Saccharomyces cerevisiae S288C: one gene and its partners. Changing the gene in region 1 together with any one later gene gives a genetic interaction. Each region holds a gene or a part of one and is shown in the gene's direction. Other genes may lie near its edges.

Region 1 (8,060 bases):
TTCGAGGGGTTCTAAAAGAGTTTCCAAACCAGCAAGAAAGGGCAACAGAACTCGTCGAAGCAATACAAGTTCAGACACCAACCAAAATAGAAGGAGTGCTGATATAGGTACCGACAAACCAGTAAAGCCCAGATTACCCCCTCAAAGGACCTCATTAAACGAAATGAGAAGAAGGGTATCCGCTATTTTGGAGTTCATTTCTAGAACTCAATGGGAATTGAGTGAAGATCAGTCTGATCGAGAGGAATTTGTACGATTCGTGGAAAACCAGCATTTCGTAGAAAAAGTTGATACGATTTACAACGGTTATAATGAAAGTCTATCAATGATGGACGACCTGACTAGAGAGTTACTACTATGGGAGAAAAAATATTCAAATAACACTAATGCCATTCAATAAACGCAAAACACTGCAATATTATTCTCAACCAAAGTATAACTGTAATGAGGCGAACAAACACATCTATACATATATATACATCTATATGGATATAAAAACGACTAATTCAACGTTGTTTTTATCAACCGAGCTTACTCTTGTACGGGTAACCGCAAGGATAGCTAGTTGCGGATGGTATAGCGATTTGGCTGGCACGATGATTAAGGAATCCAAACATCTAATGGACTAGCACATTCTATCGATTTACGGGTCAGGTAAACATAGATATTGGGATATATCATATATCCTTACTGAGTAACTATAATTATGGTTCATCGAGGAAGGACTTTGAAGTCAGACACTGATGTAACATCTCTTAATGCGTCAACAGTATCACACCAGTCAAAGCCATTTAGACAGTTTTCGACTAGGTCGAGAGCAAAGAGTAACGCAAGCTTCAAAGGTTTGCGTAGAGTTTTAACACATGATGGCACCCTGGATAATGATTATTTTAATAAGCACAACGTTTCTCAGAAATGCAAGAGTTCTGATGCACTTTTCAGAAAGCGAACGATTAGTGGGTTGAATATGACAGCTTTAACAAGAGTAAAGTCCAATCAAGGAAAAAGATCAGCATCCTTTCATAGTCCGGTGCATAATACGCTGCTCAGTCCAAAGAACAGCAGTCATTCTAATACTGGAACTGCTGGTTTCGGCCTGAAACCACGAAGAAGTAAAAGTACCCAATCTGTTCTGAGTCTTCGAGATGCGCAAGAATCTAAAAAGAGTGAATCTACTACTGACGAGGAGGTGGAATGTTTTTCGGAAGACAACATTGAAGATGGAAAGGTGAATAATGATAAAGTAATAGCCGAGCATGTTATGCCTGAAGAAAAAAAGAATGTGCAGCAATTAAATCAGAATGAATTACAATCCCCGGATTCAATAGATGAACAAGAAGAAGATAAATCAGGTACTGATGGAAAGGAAAATCATAGAGCTGTATCCTTACCATTACCTCATTTATCTTCCAATAACTATTTCGGAGAATCAAGCCATTCTATAGAACATCAGAAAGATGGAGAAACATCTCCAAGCTCAATTGAAACAAAACTGAATGCAACAAGTGTAATCAATGAAGAGGGGCAATCAAAGGTGACGAAGGAAGCTGATATTGATGACTTGTCCAGCCATTCTCAAAATTTGAGGGCCTCATTGGTTAAAGCGGGCGATAATATATCAGAAGCACCATATGATAAAGAAAAAAAAATTCTTGATGTTGGTAATACCTTAGCTGCACATAAAAGTAATCAAAAACCAAGTCATTCAGATGAACAGTTTGATCAGGAAGATCACATTGATGCCCCTAGGAGTAATTCATCAAGAAAAAGCGACTCGAGCTTTATGTCTCTTAGGAGACAAAGTTCTAAACAACACAAATTATTAAACGAAGAAGAAGATCTAATCAAGCCTGATGATATTTCTTCCGCTGGTACCAAGGATATTGAAGGGCATAGCTTACTGGAAAATTATGCGCCTAATATGATTCTCTCCCAGTCGACTGGAGTTGAACGTAGATTTGAAAATTCATCATCCATCCAAAATTCGCTTGGGAATGAAATTCATGACTCGGGTGAGCATATGGCTTCAGGTGATACTTTTAATGAACTGGATGATGGCAAATTGCGCAAGAGCAAGAAAAATGGTGGAAGATCTCAACTTGGCCAAAATATACCGAACTCTCAGTCTACTTTCCCCACCATTGCTAACATCGGTAGTAAAGATAATAATGTACCACAGCACAACTTTTCGACCTCCATATCGAGTTTAACCAATAATTTGAGGAGAGCTGCTCCTGAAAGCTTCCATGGTTCAAGAATGAATAATATTTTTCACAAGAAAGGTAATCAGAATCTACTTCTGAGATCCAACGATCTCAACAAAAATTCTGCAGCCCCGGCCTCTCCATTGTCCAACGAACATATTACATCTAGTACGAACTCCGGTAGCGATGCAAACAGACAATCCAACTCAGGTGCCAAATTTAATAGCTTCGCCCAGTTCCTTAAATCAGATGGGATTGATGCAGAATCAAGAACACAAAGAAAATTATGGTTGCAGAGGGAGAATTCTATTATGGACTTAAGTTCACAAAATGACGGTAGTGACTCTATCTTTATGGCAGGAAACATTGATGCGAAAAGGGAGTTTGAGAGAATATCCCATGAATACTCTAATGTAAAAAGATTTTACAACCCATTAGATGAAGCATTGTTGAGAGTACAACCTATAATAACGGGAAATGCAAATAATATCAGGAAAAAAAGCCATAACGATGCTCAGTCAATCGCACATTCTAGCAGTGATACAGATCATAAGGATGAGGACGATTTGCTCTTTACTAACTATGACAAAAAATTTGATGATCTTTATCCACATCTTGCAAGTGCAAAGATTCAGGCAGTGTTGTCCGGTATATGGAAAAGCGAAAGTTACTTATTTAACAAGGATGTTAATCCAATCAACAAGAATAGGACAACGAGTACAAACCACAGCGTTGGCCACACTGCTTCACAGAATGCACGTAACTTGCTGAGGGGCCCGATGGGTTCCAGCACGACTTTGCACCACCAACGCGTCATTAACTCTCTGCAGCCGACTACGAGGGCAGTGAATCGCAGGATGGAAAATGTGGGCTACATGCATACACAGCCACAACAAAGGTGAAAACAACCAACACGAAGCACACAGTTTAAAAGAGTAGCTAATGCTTTCGAGGTAAAACGCGAAGTTCGTAGAGAGCGAATATGTTTGGACACTTAAGGAACATACTATGTTTATGCACTATAAAAGGACATGTACTTCTATACGAGCTAACGAGGCGTATTTGTATAACCCGGTTAACGTAATAAATGATAAATTATCGAACAAAAAGAAAGAAAAACGTTGAATGCAACCACCGCAAATTTAGCGATTTCGCTGGATTCCGTATCTCTTAAAAAATGGCATTAGTAAATATACCTTAAACGTGTCTATTCTTTTAGCAATTTTTTGGTAAGTATTCCTCACGGACTATAAATACTATCGGTCAGAATCACTACATTCAAATTAATCTTGTTTTACCGAGTCTCTGACGTTTCATTTACAAGCTTGTCCTTACAAAAAACCTATTTTATTACTTTAGTCCATTTTCCTTTCAAGTTAGATATTGTTTTCCCTTCACTTATATTCTATTTATGAGAAGAAGCCCGTCCAGATCAAATAATAACTTTGCAGTACCGAATTGCTCAACTAATTCAAACTCTAGTCAGCAACAATTAACTACACCTTCAGATGATCTCAACAGTAACGAACCTAATGACCCAGATGATAGTAGGTCTCTACCTACTATCAAGAAATTCAATAATAAACATTCTATAAACAATTACAACACTTTAGCATCGGCCGGGAAAAACAACAACAATAAACGAGCTAGCAATGATAATTTGCTCATTCCTGGTGAGAATGCCCATAAACAGAAAATATACACTAAGGATGAAAACTTGAAGAGCTTGTACCTAGATATCGATGTTTCTGTCGCTAAAGCCCTATCCTCATCAGCAACTGCTCCGAAGCTGATCAATACCGCAAGAACTTCCTCTACTACCACTGCCACTACCTCAAATAATATCCTGACATCACCCTCTTATCGTGAATCAAATTATTCTTCTCCATCCTCATATTCTTTTTCCTCCTACTACTCATCCGCTACGTCTGCTTCCTCATCAACCTCATCATTTTTAAAATCTTCAGGGTTATCGTCCAGAGTTAAGTCTCCTTCATCTTCGGTTAAGGCAGGTTCTTTTGGTGCGCCTTCGTCCCCAACATCTGGGATACCTAATCCTAAAAGTAGCAAGAAGCCTATATTTTTGAGACGGTATTCTCATGATACCTCTTCAAATGAAGGTCTTGATATCGATGTTGCGATCGAAAAATTACTACAAGTGGGTGAGTCAAGAGAAATTACAAAAACGTCCAAAAAAAAGAACTTTCCATTCCATTCTTGGGAAATTCAACTCATTTGCTATCATGCAAGAGAAATTTTTTTGAATCAACCTACTCTTTTGAGATTACAAGCGCCTATCAAAGTTGTCGGTGATGTTCATGGACAATTTAATGATTTATTGAGAATTTTGAAGTTGTCTGGTGTGCCATCTGATACTAATTATCTGTTCTTGGGTGATTATGTGGACCGTGGTAAGAACTCATTGGAAACAATACTATTGTTATTATGTTACAAAATAAAGTACAAAGACAACTTTTTTATGTTAAGGGGTAATCACGAATCTGCTAATGTCACAAAGATGTACGGTTTCTATGATGAATGCAAAAGGCGATTGAGCTCGAAAGTATGGAAAATGTTCGTTGACGTATTTAATACTTTGCCATTAGCAGCAATTATTCAAGATAAGATCTTTTGCGTTCATGGAGGTATATCGCCCGATTTACATGACATGAAGCAAATCGAAAAAGTCGCAAGACCAACGGATATTCCTGAAAGCGGGCTGGTTACAGACTTACTGTGGAGTGACCCAGACCCTCAAGTAACTGATTGGTCAGAAAATGATCGTGGTGTTTCATACACATTTTCTAAGAGGAACGTTCTTGATTTTTGTGCTAAGTTTAAATTCGATTTAATACTTAGGGGACATATGGTCGTAGAAGATGGTTATGAATTCTTTGCCAGGAAAAAGTTTGTCACAATCTTTTCAGCACCAAATTATTGTGGAGAATTTCATAATTGGGGGGCAGTAATGAGCGTTACAACGGGTATGATGTGTAGCTTTGAACTGTTAAAGCCGCGTGCATTGAAAAATAAAAAGAAGTTATACAAAACCAAAGTGTAGCTGTTGCTAAGATTGGTTTTGCCTGGAAAGCACATTGGTTTTTAGGCCTCTTATCCTTCATTTGGAAACTTTTTGTCCTATGATTTGTTTTTTTCATTTTATTTTTCATTTTATTTTTCATTTTATTTTCATTTAGTTAACATTATTATGCAGTTATTTTTTTTTTTCCCACCTTCATGGCCTCGTTTATGTCTTTTATCAATATATTTTTTACGTTTATAAGTCATTTACTCGACTTTTTTTACCTTTGATATGCAATCATATTATTCTTCCCTCCATTATGGCTAAATAAATGATAATTATAATCTATAGTTTTCAAGCGTTCATATTTTGACAGATAAGATTATGCAACAACTTGGAAGGGCGGAAGGAAGCAAAAAGAAAACTCCGATACGGGGAGTCGAACCCCGGTCTCCACGGTGAAAGCGTGATGTGATAGCCGTTACACTATATCGGACAATAATTGGACAGAAAATTTTGTTAAAGTGTCAGCCTAATCGGCGTAATACGTATATATGTATATTATCTGCATATTATTACGATAATATACAACAAAACGGATTAAAACAATCGGTATATTTCAATTTGATATTTGGGATAAGGTAAAATAAAAACCGAAGATCAGTAAGCTCTTGTTACTTTTTTGTTGGAATAGAGGATCAAGAAGCATTTATTGCTAGTATCCAAATTATTAGTATATCATCATGTTTTCAAAAAAAAATGATGTAAAAATTGAGAAACAGTCACCAGTCATCATGAAAAGTGCACTGCAAGGATTAATAACGTAATAAAACAAGAACGACAGTACATAAACGAAAGAAGAGATAACTATATTATTGTATAGAATTATCGATTCTCTTTTAGAATTCTTTTATTCTCCAGGAAAACTACTTGTACATTCTGTTTAGCTAATATTGTAGCCTTTAACCACAATAAAATGCACTCCAAGTATAACCCAAAATTCATTGTTTTCAAATTTATATTAATGAGATATTGGTAACCTAAACATCAAAAATATTTTTACTCAAATTCTCTTTTCTGAAAACGCTGAAGGAAATGTGCAGGAAAAATGTTTGGCCATCAACTTTTATTCCTAGTACCACAACTAACGTCACATTCTATCGAGGCAAATGCTAATTGGCAACTAACACTATCTTAACGGTTTGATAATGTCAACACAAAATTCACCTATTATTACAAACGAATCTACCGGAAGTTGAAATGCCTGACAATAATCATACAATTGCATGAATAATTGCGAACAGATGGCAGCAAAGGATGAACTAATCATAATTATACATTGCCGCTGTAGGTTTCCTCCCATAAAAATCCAAATTTCCAAGAAAAAGTTCTTGTGTCTTCATACACTTAATATTGTTATCCTTCTTCAAGACCGGACTATATAAAGAAAAAATTTTGTAATGCTATTATATTTCAACTTCAAATTATTTTCTACTAGTAGACATAATGGAACTTCGCTCTCAGATAATCTATGGCGATAGATGGACAATTGACAATCTTCTGAAAGAATTTATATAATAAGATGTGACCATGACCTAAACCTGCTCACGCTCATGAAAGGATACAGGTAATTTGGCGAAACATTCCCAAGCTTCGCTGATAGACCTATCCCAGAAAGTGTCTGTTTAAAACTACAAGTATTTGCAGTTTTCGTTATCCAGTTTCGTTCAAGAGCATTAATGCACAAGCCACTTATATTATATAAATTTAAACTTTGGGAAAATATCATACACCTATTGTACCAGTAAATGTTGGAATAAAAATCAACTATCATCTACTAACTAGTATTTACGTTACTAGTATATTATCATATACGGTGTTAGAAGATGACACAAATGATGAGAAATAGTCATCTAAATTAGTGGAAGCTGAAACGCAAGGATTGATAATGTAATAGGATCAATGAATATTAACATATAAAATGATGATAATAATATTTATAGAATTGTGTAGAATTGCAGATTCCCTTTCATGGATTCCTAAATCCTTGAGGAGAACTTCTAGTATATCTATATACCTAATATTATAGCCTTAATCACAATGGAATCCCAACAATTACATCAAAATCCACATTGTCTACAGTAAAAGTATACCACTAATAGATTTGTAATTGGTGTATGAAGTAGTGTATGGTATAAACGTTAATAAGTGCTTATCAAAGTATTACCCGCTTTAACAGTTTTTGTGTTTTTTTCAAGAAAAATATTATATGTATGAATATAGAACATGAGTTTATATGGAGAAAGTGTCTCGACAGCTTTTAAAGTCCCGAAAGGACTAATATCGAATAAAAGTTGCATCCATTAATATACCAATAAATAAAGGGAAAGATGTCCCTGGAAGAATTTGACGAAGTTAAATATGATCATTCAACTAAACGCCTAGATACACCATCAAGGTACCTGCTGCGCAAGGCTAGAAGAAACCCTAACGGGCTACAAGAACTGCGTGAGTCGATGAAGTCATCCACAATTTATGTAGGAAATCTTTCCTTTTATACATCAGAAGAACAAATTTACGAATTATTCAGTAAATGTGGCACAATAAAAAGAATAATTATGGGTTTGGACCGTTTTAAGTTCACGCCATGTGGCTTCTGTTTTATTATATATAGTTGTCCAGATGAAGCATTGAATGCCTTAAAATATTTGTCCGATACAAAGTTAGACGAAAAGACAATTACCATTGATCTAGATCCTGGTTTTGAAGATGGAAGACAGTTTGGTCGTGGTAAGAGCGGTGGTCAAGTCAGCGATGAATTGAGGTTCGATTTT
Region 2 (7,105 bases), on another chromosome or scaffold:
TTCCTGTTCGAATCCATCCGCCACCTTTTTAGCGTTTTCTAATTCACCTGTTAATGACGTTATTTTGCCTTCTAGTTTATTGATTTTTTCTCTACGTGAAGCCTCCTGATTTATTCCCGCTAGTTCTTCCAATTTATTGGCAAAGAAATTACTACCTCCGTATCCAGAAATCAAGTTATTTTTTTCTTTGATTGACCTGGTTAAATAATCACTTAGTTCTTCGTAGTCTATCTGTTTCTGGTCTTTCAATTTGATCAGCTGTCGCATACTATCAATGTAGTGTTCAAGATCCTTCAAATCAACAATATATTCGTAATCCAGATACTTTGTAAGATCTTGCAAGCCATATGACAGCTGTGTTACACCTTCATTAAAAATCTTCAACTTCGCAGCAAGTTCCTCGTTTTCGCCTGTGACCAATTCTTGTAATTCCTGTAAATTACTGCCCAACTTTGTATAGTCTTCAGACATCGAATCATTTTTTTTCACAACCTTATGAAAAAGTTTATCTATCTTTGTCACAGTCCGATCTAGTTTATCACTTTTCTCCCTTATCTCAGTGAATTCTTCGTTTTGCTTGTGAACTGTTTTGAAGGCATTCATAAAAGCATCAGTAACTTCATCTTTATTTGGTTGCAAGCTATCCTGGAGGACTTTGCGGTGAGATTCCCAATCTTTACTCACCAAAAAAGTTTTGAAGACTTTTGATTGAGAAAGATCGGGATGCAAAGAGACCCTTCTTAGGAAATTTTGCAAACTATGACATCTCTTTTGTGTAAATCTTTGGCTAAACCTATCGCCTGCTATGTATTGAAAAACTTTCTTATCAGGTAATGGCGGGATGATGCAGGTGGGGAACCTGTTGAGTAAAATATCATGCAGGAGCAATAGGTCACTGTATCTTCTATGTACAACTATAATAGATTCTGGATCGCCACGATTATCATAAAATGACGTGTTGTTAGTCTTTGTTGATATCTGATAACTCACGTAGCCAGATGAAGAGCCTGGGTCACCAGTTCTTTTTTGTGGATCAGAAACAATGATTTCAAACCAATATGGTGGCTTCTCGGGGTTGCCTCTGGCTTTGTCCTTAGCTTTGCTTGTTAAATCGTTCTTGCCTTTGTCTGTCATATCCTCAACAAAAAGAGCAGTATTGTGGTATACCGTAAATAAAGTTTAATAACGGCTTAGCCTACTACCAGAATTTAATCTGTTAATCTTGCGTCGTCACTTCGTTCACGGAAATCCTTGGTGTAATACCTCTCTCAATTCCTTGATACTAAACTATACATCGCTCTTGGGCATTGCCACCCCTTTCAAGCTGGAGGGCGAATACCCGGCAGGACCCTGTGAGCGCGGCATAGATTTTTGAACTGTTATTCTGAACTATAAACAATTAAAGGAGAAAAAATACAATATCTCAGTATTGCATATAGATTTTATAGGGTGTTTGATCGTACGCAAAGGGTGGCTTGCTTATAACAATACCAGGTTATTCTTGTGAATTAAAAAAACAAAAAATTGATTTCGCCCAGGATCGAACTGGGGACGTTCTGCGTGTTAAGCAGATGCCATAACCGACTAGACCACGAAACCTATTAATTTATGAAAGCTTGGGCTTTCAGCAGAAATTAATCGATTGTAAAGTTACCGTATCAAACTTATAATAATAAAGATGTATAAAACGCGAATGAAATAATAGTAACGGGAGAGACAAGATTGAGTATATAATTCAATAATTGCTTGCTTAAATGAAGCAGTTAAACCTGTAAATACCTGAGCAATCGGTTTAGACATGGGACTCCTCGCTTCACCAGATCTTATGTATAATATAGGATAAGTAACGATGTGCGAACAAGCCGACAATAAGTCTGACAACTATTACTCTCCTAACGATAGAATTGCCAAGACATCCGGTATTATTTAAGCCCTTAATACAACAAAAATTAGTAACGTAGTTTATGTCAACTAATTGTCCAAGATTGAAATTTGTTTAGAATAAATCAAGTGTCAGCTTGAGAAACTGACGAATATTAGTAACAAAAGGCACTACTAAATGGATTATATTGGAAGTTCATTCGCACACATCTATTGCCTATTATTACGTGTATATTACCTTATGTGGTACAAAAAGATGATAGATGTGATGAGATGCTGTCTCTGAAATTGAACCAAGTTGAGACGTAAAATTAATAATGTAAAACGAAAAACGAAAAAAATGAATAACATGTATATTGCCGATTCCGCTTAGTAGGTTCCGATAGGCTCGAGAGATCTAGTATGTTCCGTATATCTAATAATAGGACCTTCGTCAACAATGGAAACCCAACAACTGTCAGAAAATTGGCATAATCATCAGTTATTCTAGTAATATTTACTAGTCAGTGGGTGTTAATTGATTTTTATTCCAACGAAAGGGTGGGTATGTTTGAAAGTTTAATTGTTAATTAATACTTCAAAAATGCTTACCCATGGCAGTTACAGAATAGTTAGGTGTAATAAGAAGCAGAAATGCAAATATAAGAATGTCGTTAAAACACTATATATATGTATATATATACAACGATCTGAGATTAAACAATGTACAGGAGTGGCAAAAACAAAATCGGCAACATTTTCCTAAGTCAGAGCTTGGTATATAATGGTGAGCCAAATAAGAAATCCGACGCCTCCAATGCTGGCCGAGACTAAGCATAGACTAGTTGTCACTGTTATACATAAATCAACCACACCTTGTGCCAGACCAGCCTCTATCGTTGTTGCAGCGACTACTCTACTGATCCGTGAGAGCACCTCCTTCTTTTTCTTTTGTTCCTCTGTCAATTCCCCGCCCTTCTTGGCAACCAGATCATACTTATTCAAGAGGCTTTCAAATTTCTTTGTTGAAACGGTCTTGAATTTTTTTATGTACTTGAACGGAGATATATTTACTGCTCGGTTTAGGCCCTTAGTTAGCTTCCCTGTTTCTGTTTCAAATGTGTTATTGCCAACAGTTTCCATTTGGATTTCCCTTGTTAGCATATTCACCTTGTTATTCAATATACCATTTAAACCCTTTAGAATAAAAGAGTGGTTACCATACATATCTTTAACTTCCTCTATTTGTCTCTCGATTCCAGATATTTTTTCATCAACACAGACAGAACTCTGCGAGTAAGCAGCCAAGACCCTTAATGAGTTGACCAGTTTGGTTCCGGTACTTTCGAATTCAACCACTGCTCTACTACTTGCTAATACAACGGTAAGCAAACACAACTGGATCAGAAAAATCCTTTCTATCATTTGTACTTTCATCTTATAGTTTTGTGACTATGGCTGTGATTATGATTTTTATTGGAAAAGCAAAAAAAGTACTGTAGAGACAATTAGAGATATATGACCCATAAAAGAGAAGTTAAATGATCGAAGAGTATACAACTCTATAATGTAATCTGTATTAAAAAAGATTTTCAGAAAGGTTTAATATTGATCTTCATTTGGGAGGAAAACAAGAGATTTACTTCGAGCAATTTTGGAATATAAAAATGATTTACTTTATGTTCGATAGAAAACCCTAGAGTGATTTTGTGTCTCTTCTAAACGCACCCTGTGGTAAAAAATAAAGGAAAAAAATGATTTCAAATATGACTAGGTTGTGGCGCCAATGATCAAGTTTTTTTTTTTATGAATTCTTTTTTGTGGTCACAACGACAAATTATTATCACCGATTTAGTGTCATTTTTTTTCATTTCTCTTAAGACTCGTGTACCCTTTTCCAAAGGCAAAGGCCCTGCGAAAAACAAAGTAGAAGGGAAAAAAATTACTAAGATACAGTGTAAGCTATGCTATGTATTCAATCCCCCTTTTTGTGGTTTTCTCATTCAAGCAGCTAATTATAGGGCTACGCATTGCCGCAGAAAAGGCACCTATGGTGAATGTTGTTGCAATCGGCTTAAATAATTGTGAAAATATGGAAGATATGTCTTGCAGAGATTAGTTTGAAAAAGTACTACAAAAATAATTTTTATACTCAATTATACTACTATCCAATACATAAATATTTATTATCTTGGGATAAAAATAAAAGAATTATTTTTTTTGCTTTTTTAAAGACTATAAAAGTGTAAACTGTCAGTAAAAAAAATAGACACCACAAAACAATAAGTGAAGATAAAAGAGCCTAGTGAAGTAAACTAATTCAAATGAGGTTCCAGCTTTTCATATATTTTTATTTCACCATTGTTGTGATTGCAGGAACTAACACAATACAACAGTTCAGCGATGCGGGCGATAGGTTAATCACATCATTGAGAAATCTGGACAACAATGGAACATACGAAACATTGACAGCAGAGAAGGTGCCTATTATCGAGGGACAAATTCAAAACATTAGTGCAAAATATGAGCAGCATACTTTTATTTTGAAGGGCTTAGAAGCGGTGCTAAATTATAAAGTGAAAAGTTTGGATAATAATGAGAGAGAGTCGCTCGAAATAGAATATGAAAAGGTGGAAAAGGCACTAGATGCGGCTTTGAATGTTTCACCATTTGAATATATCAAAAAGTTTAAAGAAGTCTCCAGGGGCAAGGTAGTTAATGCTTTAGAAAACCTCAGTAGAGAACAGAATCGAATTACTATAAATGGTGGTAGAGAAGACGAAAAAGAAAAAGAAGCGAGGGAAAAAAAGAAACGACTAGACAGAATAAAGAGAATCCTAACTGTAAGTCTGTTAGAATTGGGTCTAGCTCAAGGAGTGGCCGATTTATGTGCAGTAGCACCTTTTGCGTGTCTTCTTGGGGTGACAGTTGGAAGCATCGGTTTCATATTTTGGTTGGCACTAATATATAATGCTATTCAATAACTTGAACAGTTGTACTAAGGCAGTTTAAGTCCATTATACTGTGCGCATGCACCGGCATAGCTGCCGCCGCCTATTCATCCATGACTGTTTATATTTCTGTAGCTAGCTCTCTTTTCATGAAGCGCCATATATATTATTTTTTGAAAGCTGAAAGATAGAAACTATAAATAAAATAAAGCCGAGAGAGAGAAAGACCCAAATAACCTTTAATATTATAGCCTTTAATAACAATGGAATTACAACAATTATCTAATTATTCACCTGCATCCCAAAAATATTAGTCGTAGCCAAGATGAACCAATCGATGTGTGTTATATGTACCTCTGCTTTGCAGTATAAGAAATTTACATTTATTTCTGACTAATAACACCTTGGTGCCCCAACGGTAAACAACTTGTATCAGTTCTCATAAGTGCGGCCATTTTATGCAATACAGGCTGCATTATTTCACCAGCCGTGAAAATCCGAAAATTGTAGTAATTGAAAGCGTAATTAGGTTTTACTATAATAAAGTAGTAAAACCTTCAACAAATAGTAGCTCGCGTGGCGTAATGGCAACGCGTCTGACTTCTAATCAGAAGATTATGGGTTCGACCCCCATCGTGAGTGCTTTGTTTCTTCCGTGATAGTTTAATGGTCAGAATGGGCGCTTGTCGCGTGCCAGATCGGGGTTCAATTCCCCGTCGCGGAGATTTTTTTGGCTACTCCTGTAGTTATTCTTCATTAATGCTTTGTTAACCTTCCTTAGCATTAAATGCAATAGCAGCGGCTCTTCAAAGAATATGAAGTTTATTGGCGTATAATCAAGTGATAGCATTCACAGCACCGTGTTGTTAAGGGGCAATTTACGAAGAGTCTCAGTTTATGATAGTATATACACGTTAAGGTCCCAGCAAGAGCGTAGTATTTCACGTAAATATTCTCTTTTGGGTAAAGCACTGGTATACATATATAATAATAATTAAACTGAAACGGCTCACGAGTCTAGTGAGCCCATTCTAACTACGGTCTTCATCAAAGTCCTTCTCGGGCCGGGTAGTATGATTCCGTTTTCGTCTTTTGATGAAAATAAATTTTCTGCTGGAAAATAACAAGGTTAGTTTGTAAGTGTGATGTAGTATTTAGTAAATGCGCCCATTGCCTTTCAACTAGTTTACCAATACCTTTCTTAGCCACTTAGTTTACACTATACTTAATAAATTATTTCCTCAGGGTACGCCAATTAACAACACGCCTCCTAAGCACGAAATATATATAACTTATATCACTTGGCATCTAACCTAGTTGAAAAGATTTGTTCCGCAGATAAGAAAAAATGAAATGGTCTGCAATTCCTTTCCAAACATTGTATCGCTCTATTGAGAGTGGTGAGTTCGATTTTGATCTGTTCAAAGAGGTACTTCCTGACTTACAAAATTTGAACTTAAACACAGACAAACTAAAAAACAATGCTAGCCGATCACAATTAGAAAAAGGTGAAATTGAACTATCCGATGGCTCTACTTTTAAGGTCAATCAGGAGTTTATTTTCGAAGCTATTTCTTTGTCCGATGAATTAAACTTGGATGAAATTGTTGCATGTGAACTTATACTTTCTGGTGATACCACCGCTAATAATGGCAAAGTACAATACTTTTTGAGAAGGCAATATATCCTGCAAATTGTTTCTTTTATAGTCAACTGTTTCCACGAAGATACTGAGTTATACCAAGAGCTTATAAAGAATGGAGCTTTAGTTTCTAATATCCTCTCAGCCTTTAAGTTCATTCATACTCAATTATCTGAGATTAAACAACAAATCAATAAGGCTCAGATACTAGAAAACTATAATGCTTTATTCCAACAAAATATCAAGTTTAGGAGAGACTTCTTACTGAGAGAATATGATATTCTGAGTCAAATTTTATATGGTTTAGTGGATAAAGGAGCCATCATGAAAAATAAGGATTTTATACTGTCCTTACTTCATCATGTGTCAGAATTGGATTCCAATGATTTTTTTATAATATATTATACTCCTGCATTTTTCCACCTTTTCGCATCTTTAAGAGTTTTGCCCGATGCAGATGTCAAATTATTACATTCTCAGTTTATGAAAGACTTAAAGGACGACTCCATATATACCAAACCGGTCAAAGTAGCTCTTATTTTCATTTTTTTTGCTTACTTCATTGGGTGGTGTAAAGAAGACCCTAAAAGAAGGGCTGACACGATGGATTTCAAAACTGATGTTGATGAGCCAATGACTTCTGCCGTCGAAC
Region 3 (7,509 bases), on another chromosome or scaffold:
AGGATCAATGAATATTAACATATAAAATGATGATAATAATATTTATAGAATTGTATAGAATTGCAGATTCCCTTTTATGGATTCCTAAATCCTCGAGGAGAACTTCTAGTATATCTACATACCTAATATTATAGCCTTAATCACAATGGAATCCCAACAATTACATCAAAATCCACATTCTCTACACGTCTATCAACTAATAGTTATGAGATATATGTGGGTAATTAGATAATTGTTGGGATTCCATTGTTGATAAAGGCTATAATATTAGGTATACAGAATATACTAGAAGTTCTCCTCGAGGATTTAGGAATCCATAAAAGGGAATCTGCAATTCTACACAATTCTATAAATATTATTATCATCGTTTTATATGTTAATATTCATTGATCCTATTACATTATCAATCCTTGCGTTTCAGCTTCCACTAATTTAGATGACTATTTCTCATCATTTGCGTCATCTTCTAACACCGTATATGATAATATACTAGTAACGTAAATACTAGTTAGTAGATGATAGTTGATTTTTATTCCAACATACCACCCATAATGTAATAGATCTAATGAATCCATTTGTTTGTTAATAGTTTAAATGTTTTTATCGGAAGAGGTTTTGTGTTTGTGCCATATTAATTGTTTATCTCTAGTGTCCCACATGAATTGTATTAACTCATATGTCATGTCTAAAACTTGCCTAGAGGGGAATAGTATATGTTGAGCAAGTGTGTTGATGTAGTATAGTAAGTCAAATCTAAATTTATATCCAACATATGAAGCTAGACCAATCAACTTTTGCATTTCATGTACCTTCTCTTTGTATTCATCTTCATCTATTTCTAGTTCATCCTGGTCTATATAAAGACCTGGTTGACCTGGAGCGCTAAGTTTTCTTCCTTTTGGATTCAAAGGTACGTTTAATTTGGGTATTTTCTCAGTTAATGAGTTTTCCATACCTAATTTCATGTATTTACCTCTTTGATATTTGATTTCTAAGCCAAGTATGTCATATTGAATTTCCTCATCACTTTCGCCTAGATTTATAATCTTGGTGTCGTATTGCATCTTAAGCTTCTCTATAATTCTTTTGTTTGAATTTAGATTTTTGCTAAACAATACCATATCATCTACGAATAAACAAATTGTCACTTGACTGTTTTTAAATACGCATGACCATCCACGAACTTCTTCCATACCACATTGTTGTATCAGGTATGATTTGATAGTTTCGTACCAGTTCGCTCCACTTTGTTTCAATCCATAAAGTGATTTCTTCAAACGTATCAACTTATCATTCATTCCTAAATGTGGTGGAGGTCTTATGTATAATTCTTCTTTGATGTCTGCATACAAATATGCCGAAGATATGTCTAATTGTGTAATATAGTAGTTATTGTCTAATGCAAGTGACAGGGATGTCATTAATGCATAGTGATGTACGGTATTGGATTGCATGCCTGAGTCGTAAGTGTCAGGATGCTGAATATCACCTCTTGCAACAAATCTAGCTTTATGAGTACCGTCACGTTTCTTGTTGAAGATAAACATTGAGTTTATTACTCTTTTAGGGTCTATTTCTTTTCTGTCATAATATTCGTCAGTGTCCCAAGTTTTCATCTTCAACAGTTGATTGACTTCTTTGTGGTATGCCTCGATATATTTTTCTTTTTCTTTAATATCTTTATTATAGGTGATTGCCTCATCGTATCGTAAGGTTGTCCGTATTGGTTTGATTGATTTTACTGCTTTTACAGCTGCAATCAGGTGAATTCGTTTCTTCGATCTCGGAGGTTCTAAACTACGCATATTCTTAGTATTCCATGTGTCTCGTGATACCTTAATTTCAGTTTCATTATCTTCTAATGATCTTTTCTTACTGTTGATAGTAGTATAGGCATTAGAGTCACCAATACCACCCAAACTGGAATTAGTTTGACGAGAATTTATCGGTGGGAGTTCTTTAAATGGGTCAGGGAATTCGGTAGGAGATTCTGGAGGTAGATCAGGGAGTGGGAGATCAGCGATGATAGATTCCTCGGTATTCTGTTCAGAAACAGTAGTTGGCGTTTTGATAGGAACAATATTGTGCGATGAATTATTTTCCGGTGGAGAAGCATCGATTGAAGGTGAACGGTGTATAATCCTTTTCTCAGTCTCTTGGTCACTTATCTGCGGAACAGTTTTGTTGTTGGTACCACCCGTACTGGATATTGGTACGTTTGTATGATTAGTCTCATTTTCACTGTACGAGTCTGAGTGTCTGAAATCTTTAGATTTACTGGCGTGCGACGACTCATGTGTGTTAGATTGGGACATGGGAGCAAGTAAAGGAACATTTAATTTATGCATACCACCCGAACCGGTACTCTCGATATTGGAAATTTGGGGGGTGCTAGATCTCTTCTTTGATGGAAGAATATTAGATTCAGATATGTTGGGGTCAACTTCTCTGGGTGCGCGAATATTGGTTTTAGAAACACGTTTCGAATCTTCAGTATGAGTTGACGGAGGTGTGGAATCGGTTGGACTCACAGCTTTTGAAAGGACATTTCTCGGTTGCTCAGGATGTAGTTCAATGTCGGATTGGAAGTCATGGTCAGATTCTATGTTAAGATCATTGGATTCTTGGATCTCATTTGACGCAATGAACGAATGATATGAAGCAGTTAAACGGTTTAAGTCTTCATCGAAAGTGAGTGCGTCGTAATTGAATTGATCTAATCTGGATTCCTTGCCCTGAAGAATAACATAGTTAGTTGTATCTACTGTCTTCTTTAAGGATGGAAGATAGATGATATATCCATAAGAGTTTCGAGACGGATGTAGAGCGTAGCCTGGGATGCCACGAGGATGTATTTTGGAGTTAGGGTTGTGATCATTGACGATAACAGGTTGACCGAAAGGTAACAAAGTACTGATATCAAGTCCTGCCAAGCCAGCATGTTGTCTTGCAGATTTTTTGCTTTTAGGTGAAGCTAGTGAATTTCTCACAATAGTAGAAAATTCGATTGCAGAGAACCATAAATGGTTCGGTAAACCACTACATTGCAGTTGAGTACGGCAGTCATCTAATAAGGTACGGTTTAGCCGTTCAGCGACTCCATGTGCTCGGGAATCCGCTGTGGTTGTATAGCATGGAGTTATACCATTTTTTTCAAGGAATTTATGGAGAGTTCTGTTAGTATACTCAGAACCACGGTCCATTTGTATAACCAAGACACTGGCCTGAAACTGGTTTTTAATAAAAGCTAGTATCGTAGTAAAAACATCGAGGATAGAGTCCTCGCGACGGTCGTGTAATGGATAAACCCAACGGAATTTTGTTGTCTCATCAGTAAATGAGATGAAATAGGATGGTGCACTATTTGGTAGGTTGTGAACTGGACCAAATATGTCAGTATGTAGGTATTGAAAGGGTTCGTATGAATTTTGGTATTTTAGTCGTGAACCTTTGATATGTCTGTGTTTGGTGCTTTTGCCGATTAAACAATCAGGACATTGATAGTCAATAGCACTAGACCAGTCGACATCTGATTCGTTAAAATACGTGATGGTGTTATTTTTAAGTGAGTATCGAATTGTCTGTGCATTGGCATGCGCAAGCATTCGATGAATGAAAGGATAAGGATATTTGCGTGTACTTTCACTTGTATGGACATTATTGATGGTGGGTACGGAGATATTTGATGGAAGCAAGTACTTTTTAGATACCCAGTAAAAGTCTCCATATTTTACGATAGGTGCAAGTACAGTGCCGTCAGACCGTTCTAAGACGTTTTTGGTAAAGCATGCTGTGATATCTACTGCAGCCAATTCATTCAAACTGAGTAAGTCATAGGCTATGTTAGGAGTGTGCAATACCTTTATTGATGTTTTGGTGTTGTCCTGGAAGTGAAATTGTAGGTCACCAATAGCGTTAATTGGTATATTTCTTTTTTGAGCATCAACTACGTTTATGTCAGGATTAGATGATGCTGAGTGTATGTGATGAGCAGATCTTATAAGGGTTCGTGATGCTCCTGAATCGAGAAGGAGGTGTCCAGGGAGTTCATCATCAGAATGATTAGTATGATTTACTGTAGATTCAGTAAGTTTCTGGCCTAAGATGAAGGTCGTGCTTATTGTTCAATTGAATCGGTTCAGTAGTTGATTTACTGATGGAATCGTTGTCCGTGCTGGGAGAGTTATTAGATGTGGATACATTGTGAGCCCTGGCTGTTTTCGATTTCGAATTATTTGTTTTTTGAGGATTCCGAGCTATAACTTTGGGTTTGGTTGTATTCGTATAGCTGCGAGAATCATTCTTCTCATCACTCGGATTTCTCCTGTAATTAGGTTTACTGTTTCTCGATCCCTGTTGTTCTTCATAAATAGCATGGATATCTAAGAACAGTTCAGCGACTGTCATATTTAGATGTCGATGACGTGTGTAGCGTAAAAATTTATATTCGCCAGATAGACCTCTCATAATTAATTGGCATGCGACCTTGTTATTGATATGAATGCCATTATTGTTCAGTCTGTCGATAATGTTTGTGACTTTTGTTTCAAATGCATCTGCAGGTGTACTGCCATTATATTGCAAATTTGCCAGGGTCACAATGTCGTTTGCCTCTTGGGTATCAGATTGCATTTTTTCAATACTTTTGGAAAGAATTTTCATGATATCCGTATAATCAACGGATAGGATGTCTTTGACCCAGGTAGGTAGGAATTGAGAGGGAGCAAATATTTGAAAAGTGTTATACAAGAAGGTGAGTTCATCATCAGTGATCTGACGTACGGGTTTTCCGTTTACTGTCGGAATAATACCACCGAGATTCGAGTTTTGTAAAAATTTGATGTATGTTTTAACCCAATTTGGAAAGTCATTAGGTGAGGTTAACATTGGTGGTGGTCTGACATATTTTTTAGTGGATGTCATATCAGAGTCCGCTGAGGATGAATCAGTAAATGTATTACCTGACTCAGGTGATGGAGTGCTCAGAGGCGTTCCAACTGATGATGGATACTGCGGAAACTGTGATTGTGGCCCAGGTGGAAAGTACATAGGCGACATTTGATAAGGTGTATACGGAATCATAGATGGGTGTCCGTAAAATGACCAACCAGATGGATTGGCTTGGTTTTGGGTCATCATGCACTGCTGTGGGTACGGCCCATTCTGTGGAGGTGGTACTGAAGCAGGTTGAGGAGAGGCATGATGGGGGTTCTCTGGAACAGCTGATGAAGCAGGTGTTGTTGTCTGTTGAGAGTTAGCCTTAGTGGAAGCCTTCTCACATTCTTCTGTTTTGGAAGCTGAAACGTCTAACGGATCTTGATTTGTGTGGACTTCCTTAGAAGTAACCGAAGCACAGGCGCTACCATGAGAAATGGGTGAATGTTGAGATAATTGTTGGGATTCCATTGTTGATAAAGGCTATAATATTAGGTATACAGAATATACTAGAAGTTCTCCTCAAGGATTTAGGAATCCATAAAAGGGAATCTGCAATTCTACACAATTCTATAAATATTATTATCATCGTTTTATATGTTAATATTCATTGATCCTATTACATTATCAATCCTTGCGTTTCAGCTTCCACTAATTTAGATGACTATTTCTCATCATTTGCGTCATCTTCTAACACCGTATATGATAATATACTAGTAACGTAAATACTAGTTAGTAGATGATAGTTGATTTTTATTCCAACAAGTTATATTATCAATATATTATCATATACGGTGTTAAGATGATGACATAAGTTATGAGAAGCTATCATCGAAGTTAGAGGAAGCTGAAGTGCAAGAATTGTTTCATATGTGATTTATGAACATTTAGCATGATTTATTGTCATATTGAGGTATGGTATGTCGATGATAAAACAAATCCAACAATTGTGAGCGCAAGTGGTTTAGTGGTAAAATCCAACGTTGCCATCGTTGGGCCCCCGGTTCGATTCCGGGCTTGCGCACTTTTTTAGCAACTATTAGCGATCAATATGAAGGGTTTAGAGACTAGGTGCCTGCCTCGCCTACTCAGCATTCGTTCAGTCAATATTTTATATCACCGTTAATAATGATTAAGCAGTTTTTTTTGTTAATAAATCCGGTCATCGGGCTAACTAATCTTCAAGAACAACTAGACGGTCATCCCCTTTTGCTTCATAACTTCTCCTTATAATATAAAAACTTACAAAACGACCATGATATTCAATCTACCTGTTAGTGTGCTGCTTTATTTTTCTTTGATATGGGCAATGGAGCCTAGTTTCGTAAGAGGTAAGAACGTCGTCAACTTAATTACTTTCAAAGATTCAAATGGCAAGCTGCACAAGCGGTTAGCACCAGAGGAAATACCGCCCCGGCTACATAATTCTCAAGTAAATTCTTATCCATTAGGATATAAGGGAATGCGTGACTTTTCAAGACCCGCAGTGAATTTAGATGATATTTTAGGGACACAGCAAAGAAAGCAGCAAGAGTTTTTGGCTGAATTGTCTCCTTTATCCTTAGAATCAAAGTTGTCATTAGTGAACGAGGTCCAAATATTTGCAAGCTATGTGCGAAATGATGTTGAAACATATAACAAAGTAAGTGACCCCAACGAAGATTTGATTATTATTGCACCAACGAACAGGGCTGTCTCTCAGCTTACTTTAAAACCGTGGCAATTTCCGAATAATATTGATAAGCTTGAAAGTGATGGTGCCACCGAGAAGGAACTTGATACGGCAATACAAGAGAATATCTCCAAATTTGTGAGATCTCATATTGTAGTGTACAATGATGATAAAAATTCCTACAAGAAGGTGAGTCCAGGATGTACGCTCCTGCAGAGTATTGACTTCACAGAAAGCAAGAAAAGCGATTCGGAAACTGGTGGTGATATTTTACTCAAAAAAGAAGGAGAAGTATATTATGTAGCTTCCTCCAGAGACGAGAAATTTCATGCCGTCGAGAGCATTGAAAATGGAAGCAATGGTGTTATTTTGATGGTTGATTTCACCCTGGTGGGTCCTTAGTTATGTGTTGCTTATGGTTTTGACTTCCTTGACCCCATACAAATTGCGTTCTTTATTTTTTTTGGTTATAATTTATTAATAATGGCGAGTAGGATCGGCCTATCTTTATGGAGTTTACAACATAATATATACATTGGTATCAATTTGTTTTATAGTTATATTTTCTCTAGTATGTGAACGATAATTTTGTTTTACGAATCCTTATATTAATGCTTAGCTGGGGCCGGTGGAATAAGAATACAACTATGAAAATATTACAACAATACCTTCGAACATATATATACACCACTTAGAAAATTGATGGTACGGTGCCTGAGATCGCTGCTGGTGAGGTCATATAAATAGAGGATGCGTTTTTGTTATCAAGAGAATTCTCCCTCTCCGATAACACGTCCTGCGTATCCACTAGCGGTTGCTCCACTTTCTTATTGAATGAGTTGGATTCACCCCCAAGTAGACCTACTTTAAACAGCTTTCTTGCTTTTAATTTTCTTTCTCTA
Region 4 (8,553 bases), on another chromosome or scaffold:
CAATCCATCTGGTTGGTCATTTTACGGACACCCATCTATGATTCCGTATACACCTTATCAAATGTCGCCTATGTACTTTCCACCTGGGCCACAATCACAGTTTCCGCAGTATCCATCATCAGTTGGAACGCCTCTGAGCACTCCATCACCTGAGTCAGGTAATACATTTACTGATTCATCCTCAGCGGACTCTGATATGACATCCACTAAAAAATATGTCAGACCACCACCAATGTTAACCTCACCTAATGATTTTCCAAATTGGGTTAAAACATACATCAAATTTTTACAAAACTCGAATCTCGGTGGTATTATTCCGACAGTAAACGGAAAACCCGTACGTCAGATCACTGATGATGAACTCACCTTCTTGTATAACACTTTTCAAATATTTGCTCCCTCTCAATTCCTACCTACCTGGGTCAAAGACATCCTATCCGTTGATTATACGGATATCATGAAAATTCTTTCCAAAAGTATTGAAAAAATGCAATCTGATACCCAAGAGGCAAACGACATTGTGACCCTGGCAAATTTGCAATATAATGGCAGTACACCTGCAGATGCATTTGAAACAAAAGTCACAAACATTATCGACAGACTGAACAATAATGGCATTCATATCAATAACAAGGTCGCATGCCAATTAATTATGAGAGGTCTATCTGGCGAATATAAATTTTTACGCTACACACGTCATCGACATCTAAATATGACAGTCGCTGAACTGTTCTTAGATATCCATGCTATTTATGAAGAACAACAGGGATCGAGAAACAGCAAACCTAATTACAGGAGAAATCCGAGTGATGAGAAGAATGATTCTCGCAGCTATACGAATACAACCAAACCCAAAGTTATAGCTCGGAATCCTCAAAAAACAAATAATTCGAAATCGAAAACAGCCAGGGCTCACAATGTATCCACATCTAATAACTCTCCCAGCACGGACAACGATTCCATCAGTAAATCAACTACTGAACCGATTCAATTGAACAATAAGCACGACCTTCATCTTAGGCCAGAAACTTACTGAATCTACAGTAAATCATACTAATCATTCTGATGATGAACTCCCTGGACACCTCCTTCTCGATTCAGGAGCATCACGAACCCTTATAAGATCTGCTCATCACATACACTCAGCATCATCTAATCCTGACATAAACGTAGTTGATGCTCAAAAAAGAAATATACCAATTAACGCTATTGGTGACCTACAATTTCACTTCCAGGACAACACCAAAACATCAATAAAGGTATTGCACACTCCTAACATAGCCTATGACTTACTCAGTTTGAATGAATTGGCTGCAGTAGATATCACAGCATGCTTTACCAAAAACGTCTTAGAACGGTCTGACGGCACTGTACTTGCACCTATCGTAAAATATGGAGACTTTTACTGGGTATCTAAAAAGTACTTGCTTCCATCAAATATCTCCGTACCCACCATCAATAATGTCCATACAAGTGAAAGTACACGCAAATATCCTTATCCTTTCATTCATCGAATGCTTGCGCATGCCAATGCACAGACAATTCGATACTCACTTAAAAATAACACCATCACGTATTTTAACGAATCAGATGTCGACTGGTCTAGTGCTATTGACTATCAATGTCCTGATTGTTTAATCGGCAAAAGCACCAAACACAGACATATCAAAGGTTCACGACTAAAATACCAAAATTCATACGAACCCTTTCAATACCTACATACTGACATATTTGGTCCAGTTCACAACCTACCAAAAAGTGCACCATCCTATTTCATCTCATTTACTGATGAGACAACAAAATTCCGTTGGGTTTATCCATTACACGACCGTCGCGAGGACTCTATCCTCGATGTTTTTACTACGATACTAGCTTTTATTAAAAACCAGTTTCAGGCCAGTGTCTTGGTTATACAAATGGACCGTGGTTCTGAGTATACTAACAGAACTCTCCATAAATTCCTTGAAAAAAATGGTATAACTCCATGCTATACAACCACAGCGGATTCCCGAGCACATGGAGTCGCTGAACGGCTCAACCGTACCTTATTAGATGACTGCCGTACTCAACTGCAATGTAGTGGTTTACCGAACCATTTATGGTTCTCTGCAATCGAATTTTCTACTATTGTGAGAAATTCACTAGCTTCACCTAAAAGCAAAAAATCTGCAAGACAACATGCTGGCTTGGCAGGACTTGATATCAGTACTTTGTTACCTTTCGGTCAACCTGTTATCGTCAATGATCACAACCCTAACTCCAAAATACATCCTCGTGGCATCCCAGGCTACGCTCTACATCCGTCTCGAAACTCTTATGGATATATCATCTATCTTCCATCCTTAAAGAAGACAGTAGATACAACTAACTATGTTATTCTTCAGGGCAAGGAATCCAGATTAGATCAATTCAATTACGACGCACTCACTTTCGATGAAGACTTAAACCGTTTAACTGCTTCATATCAATCGTTCATTGCGTCAAATGAGATCCAACAATCCGATGATCTTAACATAGAATCTGACCATGACTTCCAATCTGACATCGAACTACATCCTGAGCAACCGAGAAATGTCCTTTCAAAAGCTGTGAGTCCAACCGATTCCACACCTCCGTCAACTCATACTGAAGATTCGAAACGTGTTTCCAAAACCAATATTCGCGCACCCAGAGAAGTTGACCCCAACATATCTGAATCTAATATTCTTCCATCTAAGAAGAGATCTAGCACCCCCCAAATTTCCGATATCGAGAGTACCGGTTCGGGTGGTATGCATAGATTAGATGTTCCTTTACTTGCTCCCATGTCCCAATCTAACACACATGAGTCGTCGCACGCCAGTAAATCTAAAGATTTCAGACACTCAGACTCGTACAGTGACAATGAGACTAATCATACAAACGTACCAATATCCAGTACGGGTGGTACCAATAATAAAACTGTTCCGCAGACAAGCGAACAGGAGACTGAGAAAAGGATCATACACCGTTCACCTTCGATCGATACTTCCTCATCAGAAAGTAATTCACTACACCACGTCGTTCCTATCAAAACGTCAGATACCTGTCCTAAGGAGAATACAGAGGAATCTATTATCGCTGATCTTCCACTCCCCGATCTGCCTCCAGAACCTCCTACCGAATTATCAGACTCCTTTAAAGAACTCCCACCGATAAATTCTCATCAAACTAATTCCAGTTTGGGTGGTATTGGTGACTCTAATGCCTATACTACTATCAACAGTAAGAAAAGATCATTAGAAGATAATGAAACTGAAATTAAGGTATCACGAGACACATGGAATACTAAGAATATGCGTAGTTTAGAACCTCCGAGATCGAAGAAACGAATTCACCTGATTGCAGCTGTAAAAGCAGTAAAATCAATCAAACCAATACGAACTACCTTACGATACGATGAGGCAATCACCTATAATAAAGATATTAAAGAAAAAGAAAAATATATCCAGGCATACCACAAAGAAGTCAATCAACTGTTGAAGATGAAAACTTGGGACACTGACAGATATTATGACAGAAAAGAAATAGACCCCAAAAGAGTAATAAATTCAATGTTTATCTTTAACAGGAAACGTGGCGGTACTCATAAAGCTAGATTTGTTGCAAGAGGTGATATTCAACATCCTGACACTTACGACCCAGGCATGCAATCCAATACCGTACATCACTATGCATTAATGACATCCCTGTCACTTGCATCAGACAATAACTACTATATTACACAATTAGACATATCTTCGGCATATTTGTATGCAGACATCAAAGAAGAACTATACATAAGACCTCCACCACATTTAGGAATGAATGATAAGTTAATACGTTTGAAGAAATCACTTTATGGATTGAAACAAAGTGGAGCGAACTGGTACGAAACTATCAAATCATACCTGATAAAACAGTGTGGTATGGAAGAAGTTCGTGGATGGTCATGCGTATTTAAGAATAGTCAAGTAACAATTTGCTTATTCGTTGATGATATGATATTGTTCAGCAAAGACTTAAATGCAAATAAGAAAATCATAACAACACTCAAGAAACAATACGATACAAAGATAATAAATCTGGGTGAAAGTGATAACGAAATTCAGTACGACATACTTGGCTTAGAAATCAAATATCAAAGAGGTAAATACATGAAATTAGGTATGGAAAACTCATTAACTGAAAAAATACCCAAACTAAACGTACCTTTGAACCCAAAAGGAAGGAAACTTAGCGCTCCAGGTCAACCAGGTCTATATATAGACCAGCAAGAACTAGAGCTAGAAGAAGATGATTACAAAATGAAGGTACATGAAATGCAAAAGCTGATAGGTCTAGCATCATATGTTGGATATAAATTTAGATTTGACCTATTATACTACATCAACACACTTGCACAACATATACTATTTCCGTCCAAGCAAGTGTTAGATATGACATATGAATTGATACAGTTCATATGGAATACGAGAGATAAGCAATTAATATGGCACAAAAGCAAACCTGTTAAGCCAACAAATAAATTAGTTGTTATAAGCGATGCATCGTATGGTAACCAACCGTATTATAAATCACAAATTGGCAACATATATTTACTTAATGGAAAAGTAATTGGAGGAAAGTCCACCAAGGCTTCATTAACATGTACTTCAACTACGGAAGCAGAAATACACGCGATAAGTGAATCTGTCCCATTATTAAATAACCTCAGTCACCTTGTGCAAGAACTTAACAAGAAACCAATTACTAAAGGATTACTAACCGACAGTAAATCTACAATCAGTATAATTATATCCAATAATGAAGAGAAATTTAGAAACAGATTTTTTGGTACTAAAGCAATGAGACTAAGAGATGAAGTATCAGGAAATCATCTGCACGTATGCTATATCGAAACCAAAAAGAATATTGCAGACGTAATGACCAAACCTCTTCCGATAAAAACATTCAAACTATTAACAAACAAATGGATTCATTAGATCTATTACATTATGGGTGGTATGTTGGAATAAAAATCCACTATCGTCTATCAACTAATAGTTATATTATCAATATATTATCATATACGGTGTTAAGATGATGACATAAGTTATGAGAAGCTGTCATCGATGTTAGAGGAAGCTGAAACGCAAGGATTGATAATGTAATAGGATCAATGAATATAAACATATAAAACGGAATGAGGAATAATCGTAATATTAGTATGTAGAAATATAGATTCCATTTTGAGGATTCCTATATCCTCGAGGAGAACTTCTAGTATATTCTGTATACCTAATATTATAGCCTTTATCAACAATGGAATCCCAACAATTATCTAATTACCCACATATATCTCAGAAAGTAACATGCGTGCTTTCTATGAGGTTGAAGAATAACACTCATCTTAGCCACAGTGGAGGGTTTACCTATGAAAACAGTACTAAGTAGTCAAATAATTTCCTCTCCTTTGTACGCGTTTTAGGGCACATGGCGCAGTTGGTAGCGCGCTTCCCTTGCAAGGAAGAGGTCATCGGTTCGATTCCGGTTGCGTCCATTTATTTTTTACTTTTATTCTCCTTTATTTTTAACAATTTCTAGAATAACTCGACTCGATTCCAAGAAAACCCCTTAAGCAGAGCTATATATCCTTATATTTATTCGTAACACTGCAATGTGAACATATAGTACAGCAGAAAAGATTACCTTCTGCATTATCTATAAGTTTTGCGCATAACAAACCTTTCACTTGTCACCTAATTTGGGTTTAAGTAGTGCTCGCTATATTGCCCTGGCACAATGCTTTTTTGCTTTTACTGTAGTCTTTGCTATTTAAATAATCTCACTGTCGTCCATATCCCTCATATACATGGCCCTTTTTTGGCGCCCATACAAGAAAAAGTAATCACTTTTATAAACATATAAAGTTATTTCACATCCCATCATCTCGGTTTGAGGAACAGACGCCTTTTCATAGTTTTGGATGACTATACATCAGTTATCTCCAGAATCCCAATGGAAGATTGTTTCTAGTTCCTTTATTTACGGTCCGGTAGCTGCTGTAAGGGAATTATTAGATAATAGCATCGATTCGGGTGCTAAAAAAGTATTCATCGATGTAGATTCCACTACGGGAGGATGTGAATATATATCAGTCAAGGACGATGGATCAGGTGTGGATATTATCGACAGACCTTCTATGTGCTTGGAATACACCACATCAAAGATGAGTAGTCTCGGAGATATTTCGATTCTGACTACTCTTGGATTCAGAGGTGAAGCATTGTTTCTTTTGTCAAACTTGTGTAACCAGAAAGGCTCAATGCAGGTTGAAACAAAAACTGCAGATGATGTCATTGGAGAAAAATGGTTAGTTGATAGTAAGGGTGGTATTACCAATGGAAAAAGGTACAAGGTATCTTGTCCCGTGGGGACTACAGTAATATTAAGGAAACTTCTGGGAGGGTTACGAGCAAGGTATCTCGAAATTTCTTCGAGGCCAAGAAAAACATTCGATGAACTAATCTATTTAATAAACCATTATTCTCTAATTCATAGAAATATTCGGTTTTATTTTTCGTTGGTGTCATTACAAAAAAATGGTGCCATAGAGCGTAAACAAATGCAAGAAACGTTAGACCCTAAGATTTCTAGAGCTAGAAGTTTGTCCCTACTAGCTAGACTAAAAAAGCCTGTGCCGCTGAACTTTATTGTAGAAGAAAACTTTGTTATCGACGAAAAAATAAATTTAGATTTGATCTTACCGAGGATGGTGCCAGAATCTGACGTTATTAATATAAAGAGACGATTTAAATTTTTATCTGTTAATGAGAGAGCGCTATCTTTGAACTTGGAGACGGGGAAGACTATTTCTAAGTTACTATCGTCAATCTATAGAGATTTCTCTTTACTAGATCCTATGGTTTGGTTTATTAATTTAAATTGCGATACAAAGCTTCTTGACGTAAATATCGAACCAGAGAAAAATGACGTGATGATCAAAAGTTTTGAAGTGATATTTAAGAAGATAGAGAATAAGTTAAAGTTGTTATTGGAGGAGAGAATTGGCATCGAAACAAATATGCTGGGAGATAAACATGTTCAGCCTTCTATCAACGAAAAAACTTCTCCCGCACTGGTGATACCTACACCCGACGCAGAGAATGAAATATCAAAGGGCTGTGGTGCTGTTAGTGGTAAAGACAAGACTGACATCCCACAAAAAAACTCAGATTTGATAGTACCAACTTTTTACGATGAAGCAAACTTAGAGAATACGACCATTGTCGCTGCTACTCCTTCACCTACAAAATTTAGCGAGGATAAAGCTCTTGACGAACAAACTCAGCTGACCATTTCAAGTTATAGAAGCTCGAGTTCCGGGTCTATGGCTTCCGAGGACAGTACTAATTGGCGACATAATTTCCAACAAGAACTAAGCGAAAATAGTGAAGTAGCAGGAGCTGGATCCTCAACATTACCCTCGTCATTAACTTATAACTATATAGAAACTATTCCAGAGAACGAGGATTTAGAACTTTCTAAGGACGCTTCTATTTCTAATCCTTTTATGATCACAAAAATAAGAAACGTCAACAAGAAACTGAGCGAAAACTTACTTGAGGCCAAACGTACTAGCTGTGGAGATGCCAATAAAAGGGGAATGCCCAACGAAAGACAGCTTTCAAATACAGAAAAAAAGGAACTAATAAAGCTTCAGCAAACCTACGGTAAAAGAAACAATACCGTGGACATGACCATTCCACGAAATTCGAAAAAAAAAGTAACTGATAATTATATAAAGAAAGCATCCTGCATGCACAAAACAAGGCCGAAACTCATGCATTTTTCCGAGTATACCAACAACTACGTCTATACCCTGAAGAATGAAAAAATTGTTAAGCATGACAGCGATAACTTTGCCAAAGAAACTCTGTGGTTACGATCGAGGGACGATGCCACAAGCCCTTCTTCCAGTCTTTTGCAAGCCTTGCGAGCGCATGTGAAGAAACCGGGACACATTGAAGCCACGACAAATGAATGGTGCCTCTTCACGCCAGACAGCCCCTGATGATCGGGTGCACTATCACCACTCAGCACAATAGATTACTTCATAATAGACCATTGTTTGTAACTCATGGTAACCGCACCCTGTTGCCCGCCCTGCCTCTCTTCCAGTTTCCGCACCTTGAAATTTCCGTTTTGGGTCAACTTAAAAATGCTCTAATATTGCATTGTTACGACATCCTGTTGTCATGCGACTAAAGGTATTTATACTGTATATATCTCATTCATCTGATTCTGTGAGGTTGCATAATTGAATATTTATTTCAAAGGAGCTAGAAGACAAAGATCACTCCACATAAATATACGGGGTTCCTTTATATATTAGTTCATTTTTTTTTTCAGTTGTCATACCCAAACTATTATTTCCTTCTGAACTCCTTTAAATATATCGTTCTTCCAAGCTAATTGATAACAGTAGTAGCATCACAAGAGAAAAAAAATGCGATCTTATATGCAGATTCTTCAAAAATTTGCCAAATTTATTGGGCCAGGGATATTAGTCAG

What was found.
Region 2: mutations in PPQ1 (region 1) and LOH1 together harm fitness more than expected from each alone (negative genetic interaction), as found in Saccharomyces cerevisiae (one large-scale study listed by BioGRID).
Region 3: mutations in PPQ1 (region 1) and YDR262W together harm fitness more than expected from each alone (negative genetic interaction), as found in Saccharomyces cerevisiae (one large-scale study listed by BioGRID).
Region 4: mutations in PPQ1 (region 1) and MLH2 together harm fitness more than expected from each alone (negative genetic interaction), as found in Saccharomyces cerevisiae (one large-scale study listed by BioGRID).

Annotation. Positions count from the first base shown.
Region 1 is NC_001148.4:204,542-212,601, forward strand, and holds PPQ1 (protein-serine/threonine phosphatase), read left to right. Parts: upstream 1-3,615; coding exon 3,616-5,265; downstream 5,266-8,060. Other genes in the region: CTI6 (Cti6p), read left to right, coding at 1-400; TCO89 (Tco89p), read left to right, coding at 707-3,106; nuclear cap-binding protein subunit CBC2, read left to right, coding at 7,617-8,060. UniProt on the Saccharomyces cerevisiae protein: Phosphatase involved in the regulation of protein synthesis. Affects translational accuracy.
Region 2 is NC_001142.9:372,854-379,958, reverse strand, and holds LOH1 (Loh1p), read left to right. Parts: upstream 1-4,184; coding exon 4,185-4,844; downstream 4,845-7,105. Other genes in the region: SNX4 (Snx4p), read right to left, coding at 1-1,134; IRC18 (Irc18p), read right to left, coding at 2,623-3,297; NUP192 (Nup192p), read left to right, coding at 6,160-7,105. UniProt on the Saccharomyces cerevisiae protein: Involved in spore wall assembly. May be involved in maintaining genome integrity.
Region 3 is NC_001136.10:986,944-994,452, forward strand, and holds YDR262W (uncharacterized protein), read left to right. Parts: upstream 1-6,190; coding exon 6,191-7,009; downstream 7,010-7,509. Other genes in the region: YDR261C-C (gag protein), read right to left, coding at 4,084-5,406; exodeoxyribonuclease DIN7, read right to left, coding at 7,299-7,509.
Region 4 is NC_001144.5:211,869-220,421, reverse strand, and holds MLH2 (mismatch repair protein MLH2), read left to right. Parts: upstream 1-5,965; coding exon 5,966-8,053; downstream 8,054-8,553. Other genes in the region: YLR035C-A (gag-pol fusion protein), read left to right, coding at 1,515-4,982; putative divalent metal ion transporter SMF3, read left to right, coding at 8,489-8,553.